Linked DNA regions of Caenorhabditis elegans. The protein of the gene in region 1 purifies or fractionates together with the protein of each later gene. This does not show direct contact. Each region holds a gene or a part of one and is shown in the gene's direction. Other genes may lie near its edges.

What was found. Proteins that work in one complex are often made in the same cells at the same time.
Region 2: the proteins of acly-2 (region 1) and fbxb-87 fractionate together in Caenorhabditis elegans (co-fractionation; one large-scale study listed by BioGRID). This does not show direct contact.

Annotation. Positions count from the first base shown.
Region 1 is NC_003283.11:13,114,850-13,120,686, forward strand, and holds acly-2 (ATP-citrate synthase), read left to right. Parts: upstream 1-1,638; 5' UTR 1,639-1,658; coding exon 1,659-1,697; intron 1,698-1,745; coding exon 1,746-2,147; intron 2,148-2,191; coding exon 2,192-3,118; intron 3,119-3,164; coding exon 3,165-4,421; intron 4,422-4,466; coding exon 4,467-4,766; intron 4,767-4,816; coding exon 4,817-5,191; 3' UTR 5,192-5,283; downstream 5,284-5,837.
Region 2 is NC_003281.10:10,892,703-10,896,815, forward strand, and holds fbxb-87 (F-box domain-containing protein), read left to right. Parts: upstream 1-1,817; 5' UTR 1,818-1,986; coding exon 1,987-2,066; intron 2,067-2,129; coding exon 2,130-3,030; 3' UTR 3,031-3,032; intron 3,033-3,436; 3' UTR 3,437-3,554; downstream 3,555-4,113. Other genes in the region: athp-1 (PHD-type domain-containing protein), read left to right, coding at 1-222, 701-873; com-1 (DNA endonuclease activator Ctp1 C-terminal domain-containing protein), read left to right, coding at 3,726-3,779.

The DNA of each region.
Region 1 (5,837 bases):
GTACTTTGACTTTCAAGTAAATGGCGTTCGAATAGAGAGCTAGACTTCTTCTTCTTCTTCTTTAGCTCAAATTACAATGCCTACTTATTCCTCATCTTTAGGACCGCCCGTATGCACATTCACATAGAAATAAATACGTGTGCTCAAGGACATGAGCAAAACAGGAAACTTATGCGAGTAAGTATTCGGAGAGCCCGCGGAGGAGCAAACCAAAACGATTCCGCAACTATGAAATGTTTTGAGGATTAGTGGATTAGTAAAACAAAAGTTAGAATTGTTTTGTTTCTGTTCTTTTTTGTTTATTCGAAATGAAAATGTGGGAAACAAGTACATGACCCCGGTGACAAGAAATTCGTAGTATTGGAACTCCAATTATTATATATCCATTTCGTATTGTACAAGTTATGTATAAAGAGTTTCTCCTCGTTTCGGCTTCGAGACATTACAAAAAGAAAAGAGGACATATGTCCCTAGACATTGGATTTCTGGAAAGTCTGCAATTTTCAGCAGTATTTCCCCTTTATCGCCCATTCGATAATTAATCCTGGATTTTTAAACATCAAATTAACAAACTTGTAAAATTTGGCACTTGAAGAAACCACTATGACTGAGATCGTGGCGAGACCCACTAGAAACAGTCAGTTTGCGCCTTTAAACTGCCTAGCCAAAGTTGCGCGAAATTATGATGTATTTTTGATGCATGTGCGTAAATATTTGGGGTCTAAAATGTATTAGCTAGATGTAGGTTGATTTTCAGTTTTTTCAAATTGTAGTTTCACTAAGGGAAGCTTCTTTCAAGCTTCAGAAGGAGACCCGAAGAACTCGGGGGATGTCCAATTGGGGGGATTACCAACTCGGGGGATTTGCCCCGCCCACAGAACCGTGGCTTGCAATACGCCCATTTCTGCAACTGCCGCACGGTTTTAAAATCATTTTTTCTTGTTAATCCTCGCTCTATTGATAAAAATACAGTTTTAAAACCGTGCGGCAGTTGCAGAAATGGGCGTATTGCAAGCCACGGTTCTGTGGGCGGGGCCAATCCCCCGAGTTAGTAATCCCCCCAGTTGGACATCCCCCGAGTTCTTCGGGTCTCTTTAGAAGCTTACTGTATTGGATACCGTAGTTTCTGCAATATGTCGTAATGGTGACTGCAGAGCCGTCGGAAAATGTTTTAAAACTTTTTTTTTTTTTGAAATTTCAGAATATAGAAAACCTTAAATTAAAACAATCTTCCCTCGAAGCTATTCTATAGATTTTCTTCTTTATTTATTTAATAATTTCTGAAATCAAGTTTCAAATAATTTCTCAACCGTTTTTTCCCTATTCGGCTTGTCAACAAGTGAAATATATTGAATTTGAATAAAAATGCAAATGTCAACGCCAGAGAGTGTTCTTTTTCTCTACTTTTTCGATAAATCTTTTTCTCATATGTATAAATTCGGTTTGATCTCGATCTCGAGCGCCTCCGCCGCTACAAGGAGCGCACTTTTTCTGTTTTGTAGGCCACCGCGTGTCGTCTTGCATCACAATCCTCCTTTTTTCGAATGATTTCTATCTGTTTCTCTTCTATTTCATCCGTCTGTTACGCAATATATCCGTGACTTTGCCGGTTTTCCATTAAACACTGTCCATTTTCAGGTTATTACACCCATACTGATATGTCGGCTAAAGCTGTCAGCGAACTCTCAGGAAAAGAGGTATGAAGCTTTATTTTTTATTCGATTGATTTACAAAAACAATTGCAGGTTTTGTACAAATATTTCGAGTCGACCGGAATTGTCAGTGCCCCACATGCTTTTCACGTGAAGGCCGGAGATAAGTTTTCTGACGTCGCCGCCAAGTACGAATGGCTTGCACAAGACAACAAGGGTGTTATCAAGCCGGATCAGCTTATCAAGCGTCGTGGAAAGCTCGGTCTTGTTAAGATTGGGTCTCCTAAAGAGCTGGAAGCTTGGTTCGGCAAGACGGCAAACAGTTATGTGAAAGTTGGCCAAACGGAGGGAAGATTGCACACGTTTATTGTTGAGCCGTTTTGTGCTCATACTGAAAATGAAGAAATGTACATCGCGATCTACAGCGAACGCTGTCGCGATGTTATTATGTTCTATGAGCAGGGAGGAGTTGATATTGGAGACGTCGAGGAAAAGGTTTGTAGTAGGTAATTATTTCTCAAAAATTTTCATATTTTCAGGCCAGATCAGTCCATGTTCCAGTTCAACTTGATGACAATGCTATGTCAATTTCGGAGAGAGAACTAGGCGTGCTTCTCGGGCCATGTAGTGATAAGGATGATATCCGAAAGTTCGTTCGCAGCTTATACGAAGCCTACAAAGCTCTTCACTTCACATACTTGGAGATCAATCCGTTTGTTCTCACCAATGGCAAGATTCATATTTTGGACTTGGCTGCAAAGCTTGACGAGACTGCCAGTTTTCTGTGCTCGGATAAATGGAGCGGTCGGAATGCTTCTGCACGAATCGCTCCGACTCTGGAGTTCCCGGCACCATTTGGACGTGATTTGACTTCGGAGGAGCAATACATTTCTGATATGGATGCGAAGACTGGAGCATCTTTGAAGCTGACTATTCTTAACAGAAAGGGACGCGTATGGACCATGGTGGCTGGTGGAGGAGCATCAGTTGTGTTTACCGATACTGTTTGTGATCTTGGAGGATCATCTGAACTTGCTAACTACGGAGAATATTCTGGAGATCCATCGGAAGCTCAAACTTACGAGTACGCCAAGACTATTTTATCCGTCATGACAGAAGGTGCTCCACGTCCTGATGGTAAGGTTCTCATCATTGGTGGATCCATTGCTAACTTCACAAATGTCGCAAAAACATTCGGAGGAATCGTTCGTGCGTTCGAAACTTTCATTGATAAGCTCAAGGAACATAATGTTTCCATCTACGTTCGACGTGGTGGTCCGAACTACCAAGAAGGACTGCGACGTGTCAAGGATGCTGCCACAAAACTAGAAATTCCGATTTATGTATTTGGACCGGAAACTCATATGACTGCAATTGTCGGAGCTGCGCTCGGATTGAAGCCAATGCCAACAGTCCCGACGGCTCCTCAAACCACCGGACAATTTTTGTTGAGCCCAGAAAGAAACGTATGTTCTAATTATTCATAGGAAATAATTTAGTTTTTGTTTTCAGACTGCAGGCACGGAACGTCCTCCAGCATCTCCAGCTCCGAACACTTCCACAATCGAACATCCTCTCGCCAAGAGGCACCCTCTTCATCAAAGCTTGTTCGAGAACGACACAAAGGCTATCATTTGGGGACAACAACACAAAGCTATTCAAGGAATGCTTGATTTCGATTTTGTTTGCAGAAGACACTCCCCATCAGTCGTCGCTTCAACCTATCCGTTCACTGGAGACAACAAGCAAAAGTATTATTTCGGACAGAAAGAAATCCTTATTCCTGCTTACAAATCTATGGCAAAAGCTTTCGCGAGTCATCCAGATGCCACTGTCATGGTCACGTTCGCGTCGATGCGTTCAGTTTTTGAAACTGTTCTGGAGGCTCTTCAATTTACACAAATCAAGGTTATCGCAATTATTGCCGAAGGAGTTCCAGAAAATCAAACAAGAAAATTGCTTAAAATTGCTGAAGATAAGGGTGTTACCTTAATTGGTCCTGCTACTGTTGGAGGAATCAAGCCAGGATGTTTCAAGATCGGAAATACCGGAGGAATGATGGATAATATTCTTGCTTCGAAACTTTATCGTCCTGGAAGTGTCGCTTACGTGTCCCGCTCAGGAGGAATGTCGAACGAGCTCAACAACATTATTTCACAGAATACCAACGGAGTTTACGAAGGAATTGCTATCGGAGGGGATCGCTATCCAGGAAGTACGTACACCGACCACGTTATGAGATATCAACACGATGATCGTGTTAAGATGATTGTCCTCCTTGGAGAAGTTGGAGGTATAGAAGAATATCGTATTGTCGAGCTATTGAAAGAAAAGAAAATCACGAAGCCTCTCATTGCTTGGTGCATTGGAACATGTGCAGATCACATTACTTCAGAAGTTCAGTTCGGTCATGCTGGAGCTTCTGCAAATGGACAAGGAGAAACTGCTGCATGCAAAAATACAGCTCTTCGTACTGCTGGTGCTTTGGTTCCAGATTCGTTTGACGACCTCGGAAACAAGATTCGTCAGACTTATGAAGAATTGCTTCGACTTGAAATCATCGTTCCACAGCCGGAAGTTCCACCACCTGCAGTTCCAATGGACTATGCCTGGGCTCGGGAACTCGGGCTTATTCGCAAACCAGCTTCCTTCATGACCTCTATTTGTGACGAACGCGGAGAAGAATTGAACTATGCTGGCGTCCCAATCACCAAAGTCCTCGAGTCGGATATGGGAATCGGTGGAGTTCTAGGCTTGCTGTGGTTCCAGGTTCAAAAAAAAATCTAATTTGCCTTGTATATTTTCCTTTTTCAGAAACGTCTCCCTCCACATGCCAACAAGTTCATAGAGATCTGTTTGATGCTCACTGCTGATCACGGACCAGCAGTTTCTGGTGCTCATAATACTATCGTCTGTGCTCGCGCTGGAAAGGACTTGATATCTTCTCTCACATCTGGACTCCTCACCATCGGTGACCGATTCGGAGGTGCTCTCGATGGAGCTGCTCGTCAATTCTCTGAGGCTTTCGATCAAGGGTGGTCTCCAAATCAGTTTGTCGGAGAAATGCGCAAACGTGGAACTCATATTATGGGTATCGGCCATCGTGTCAAGAGCGTGAGTTTCAAGAAAATACAGTTTTTTGATAATTGATGAAATAATTTCAGATCAATAACCCTGATAAGCGTGTCGAGATTCTCAAGAGATTTGCTTTGAACAAAAAGGAGTTTGCTCAAGAAACACCACTTCTCGATTATGCTCTGGAAGTTGAGAAGATCACCACTGCCAAGAAGCCAAACCTCATTCTAAATGTTGATGGAGCTATTGCCATCATCTTCGTCGACATCTTGCGCAACAGTGGGATGTTCACAACAGCTGAAGCTCAAGAAGTTATCGAGATAGGTGCTCTGAATGGAATGTTTGTGCTCGGTCGCTCCATCGGATTCATCGGACATTATTTGGACCAATCACGACTCAAACAAGGACTCTACCGTCATCCTTGGGATGACATTTCATACATCATGCCAGAGAGAAACTTGTGAATTTGATTATCACTTCCCCCACTTCACCCTATTCACTTACCTTTTTAATGCATCCCAAAATTGCCAAAAGTAGGAATAAACTGTACATTGATTTATTGAGTTTCAAATTTCAAAATCATCAGAAAATAAATTTAGAATTTGCGGGAAAAAATGATAGAAAACGCTTAGCTTTGTGGAGTGGCAGATGTTGTGCAACAATAACGATAGGAAGCAGAGGGCAGTCAGACAGTCAGTGAGACAAAGAAAGCTTCTAAAATGGTGTGTGACATCTGTCAAGCCATTTTATTGCCAACCCTCTAATTAACGGATTTTTGACGGAATCGTGCAGATGGGAAACGATTCGGCTTGATGGCTGCGTAAGTAAATCAGCAGAAAATATGATGGATGAATCACTCAAAATGTTTCAAAGTTTTATAATAAAGGACATTTTGAAATGTTTCAGAAAAAAGGGGGCTTTTCTTTATCACCCAACAATTCGAATTGAGAAATATGAAGCCGTTGGTCCTTCATTCTGCATCTTCATGTTCCCTTCGTTCACATCTCCATGGTAACCCGCTTATAAATTCTGGAGACGTACGTATCCAGTCGACTTGAGAATATTTTATTGGTTGCACTTTTAAATACAATTATCAATGTTAGTTGCGAG
Region 2 (4,113 bases), on another chromosome or scaffold:
AACTCGGCACCGCCCATGATTGCCACGTACGATGTGATAAATTGACGGGCGATGCGTGGTGCTCGGTGCTTGCAGATTATCATTGTGATATTGTTCGCGATTATTATTCGGATAATTTTTATATTTCGACACTCGGCACTGAAGCGGTTTTTGTGGATGGACGGGCGGTACGAAGACCGCGGCTGACACCGTTTGAGGCAGCTGAGAAATTGAGAACTCGAGGTATTGGAAATGCCAAGAAATGGGCGGGGATTGGAAACTCCGTCTACAAAATGGATAATAAAAAATTGAGGAGTGCGGAAAATGTGGAAATTTTAATTTTTTTTCCGAAAAATTCCAAAAACTCAATTTTTTTGGTGAAAAATACTAAAAAAATCTACAATTTTTAGGGTTTTTAAGGCATATTAAAATCAATTTTTTCTGAGAAAATTCTGAAAATCCGAATTTTTTGATTTTATTTGTTTTAATGCAAAAATATCTACAATTTCTAGGCTTTTTTTCCAAATTAAATTATTTTTCCTGATAAAATTCTGAAATTCCGAATTTTTTTGATTTTTTTTCAATTTTCCTTTAAAAAAATGCCAAAAAATCTACAATTTTTAGGTTTTTTTTCTGATAAAATTCTAAAAAATTACGAATTTTTGGGATATTCTTCATAAAAAGGATCCATTACTTATTGAAAAAAATTTAATTTTTGCAGGTTCCTCAACAATCATCCCTCCACATATCAAATGTCGATGCCAAAAACATTCTGATCTACAAATTTCGCGCCAAGAGAGCACCGGTGAACTCGTTCGCTGTGGAATCCTGAAACTGGAGCACGGAGCACGTATTCAAATTGGCTGTGTCGCGTTCATCTTCTCTAGGATCTAATTATGTGATCTCTTACCTCTTTTTTTCTGTCCGTGAATATCACGTATTTTGATTTTGAAATTTTTTTATGTGAAATCGTAAAATTTTAATGATTCTTTTGGGTGTTTTTTTTTTTGGAAAAAAAAGATTTTTCCGGCAAACGACACGTACAACAATTGCTGAAATTGAAAATTTCCGGCAAATTCGGCAAACCGGCAAGTTGCCGAACTGCAATTGCCACCCATCCCTGTTGTGGGTGACAATCATTTTCCAAAATTTGAAATTGAAATGTTCAAAAAAAAATTGAGCAACGCAGGTTCTACTCCTACAACAGTAGGTGTATGGAATAAAATACTCAGGCAACTCAAATCTAATATGAAAATATTAAATAGCAATATTTTTGTAGTAAATACGAGAAATAGTGCGTCCATATAATATTACTAAAAATTTCGAATAGATTTCGATTGTCTCAAAATATTACAATTTGATCTCAAAATATTGCGAAATATTCTCAAAAGATTGCTCAATCTAAAAAGATTTCGAATAAGTCTCGGAATATTGCGATTTTATCTTGAAATATCACCCAACTACAAAAATATTGCTATTTAATATTTTCATATAAGATTTGAGTTGCCTGAGTATTATCTAAAACTTTGGGAATATCATTATGAGTGGTGTTGCTCTCGCTCTAACAGGATAAAATATCATATTTCCCAGAGTTTTCAATTGGTGTCAGAGTGTCCCATTTCGGTTTGATCTACGAGAAGCGCTGACGTTACGGTTTTCTGTACAAAAATTTGTAGATCAAACCGTAATGGGACAGCCTGACACCACGTGAGTTTGTCCGGTTATGCCCTGCATTTTGCAAATGTTATGATATTTATAATTTTTATAAATAACATTTTTCAATTGTGGAAGACTGTTAGAGTTTCTTCTGCCAAATGTACCTCCAGAATTTTTTATTTAGATGTGGTTAATGTTCATATCTCTGACCCCATGCCTGCCTGTGTATTAGTTGGAGTGGTCAGGACCAGTGTACATCTATAACGTATGTAGTACCCATTATCTTTTTCCTAATCAATAACCTGTTGGTTCACCAAGTCATTCATTTTCTTATTCATTCTTCTTACAACCATGATGAGAGGTTTTCCAATTTTTCGATTACCGCATAAACCACTACGTTTATTGCTGAAAACTATGGAGGTGCAAGATTTGTGAGTGCATTTTTTTCCCAACTGGAAACATAAATATTCTTATAAGTAGAAACAAGTTTTCAGAGTGAGGATATCGTTTTATTCAAAAACTGCCAAACATGCTGTTGAATCGTTGAATATGAAGCTCATATATTTTTATATAACAATTTCTGGGACAATACAATTTGATATCTTCACTTATAATATGGAAGATCTCAATTTGAAATTGTCTGTGACACAATCTGAAGGAAGGAATTTGATTCGAGTGCACGGTGAAAAAGTAATGACAGGAATCAGTTTGCGGGAGTTTATAGATCAAATTCTTACAATATTCCATCAAGCAACTATTCATAAGCTATTTATTAAGCATATCGACTACGATTATCTAGAAGAATTCAATAATTTGAATATTCAACTTTTACACCTCGCGACTAGGAGCTCACTGAAACATTTTGCAAGACGATTCGATTTTCTAACTTTAGAGCAAATTACTTGGGAAACTCGAGATTTCCAGTCACTTGTGGGCCTCAACTTCAAACATTTAGAAACAAGAAGCACTTTTAAACTAGAAGACTTACTCGTTTCAAATACTTCTCAAATACTTATTCATGAACCATTGCCCCTAACAGATCTATGCATATTTCTAAAACATTGGATCAATGGATCAACTGAACGGCTGGAATTATTCCATATGCGTCTTCCTCAAAATTTTCAGAAGGAAGAATTTATTCAGAATGCCTTAAGTGGTATTAAATACAAAAAACTGGACGTCGACCAAAAACTGGAGTTCGAAGCAGCTGTGGATGTATGGAAGGACTCACACAGAGAGGTGAAAAACGAGGGATTTGGAATCCAAAGGAGCGATGGTACCTACGCAATTATTGTTGTGTGTGATGAGTTTGCAACTAACAAGTATTTGAAGATGTTTGTTTGGAAGCCGATTGATTCAAGTATCGGAGATCTCCTTAAAATTGCATCGTTTTAAATGTTAGTTTTGATTTTTTCTTTGTATTTTTGCGCTAAAATACGGTAAATCTTTTGTTTAATGCGAAGAGGTACGCACCTTTAATGAGTACTGTAATTTTAAACTTATTTTTTGCCGCGTGGTTTCCGTTGCTCGAGCCAAAAAAATGCCGAAGTTATTTATTAGAATTTATTCTTGATTTTAATCGATAAATATATATTATTTACCACAAACCATTTCGACTTTGATCAAAGCTTTGATTTAAATATATTTAATCTTAAATTTCCCGCTGCAAACGCGCTCGCTGACACGGCGCAGAGATAAGAGGGCGCCAGAGAAGTTTTGAGAGAAATCATTTTTTTGAATTTTATTTTCAATGTTTCCTGAATTTCAGCTCAATTAAAGCGGAAAATGTTTATTTTTGCAGAGTATCTACGTGGTCACAAGAGGAAACTTGTACAAAATTAATTTAAATGTTAAACATCTATTTTAAAATGATTTATTATTTATTTTTCTGTTGAATAAATTGAATAAACTTAAATCTTGAATTTAAATCGTGAAATTTAAATCGTTTTGTAATTCTGGTTGCCAATTTACCAGTTCATTTCTATTTTATTAACAATTTCCGCACAGATCATCAGTTTCCCTTCCAGGAATCCCAAAAAATGGACAGATATTACGGTAGCCACGTGGCAAATTCAAGTTTTGACTCATTTATGCAATCTGTGGATCCATTTGAGCCAACACCGAAACGAAGATCCACTGGAGAGGTAATTATGCGAAAAAATCCGGAAAAGCTCGAACTTCAGAGGTTTTTCCAGCTTTTCAAGGAGAATTCTTGAGAAATTGGAAAAAACATAGAAAAACTGGCAGAGTTTGCTCAAATTTTTGTATATAAATGACTGCCTTTGTCAATTTTTGCAGAATATTGTTGAAAATCGAACAATTTCATCAAAACATTGCTGAAAATACAGAAAACCTGAAAATTTCAATGTTTTTCGAGTTTTATGCAGAAAAATGCGATAATTTTCGCCTGAAACTCGTTTTTTTTCAAAAAATCTTTTAGAAAATTGAAGTTTTGAGTATGCTAAAACAATAAATCAA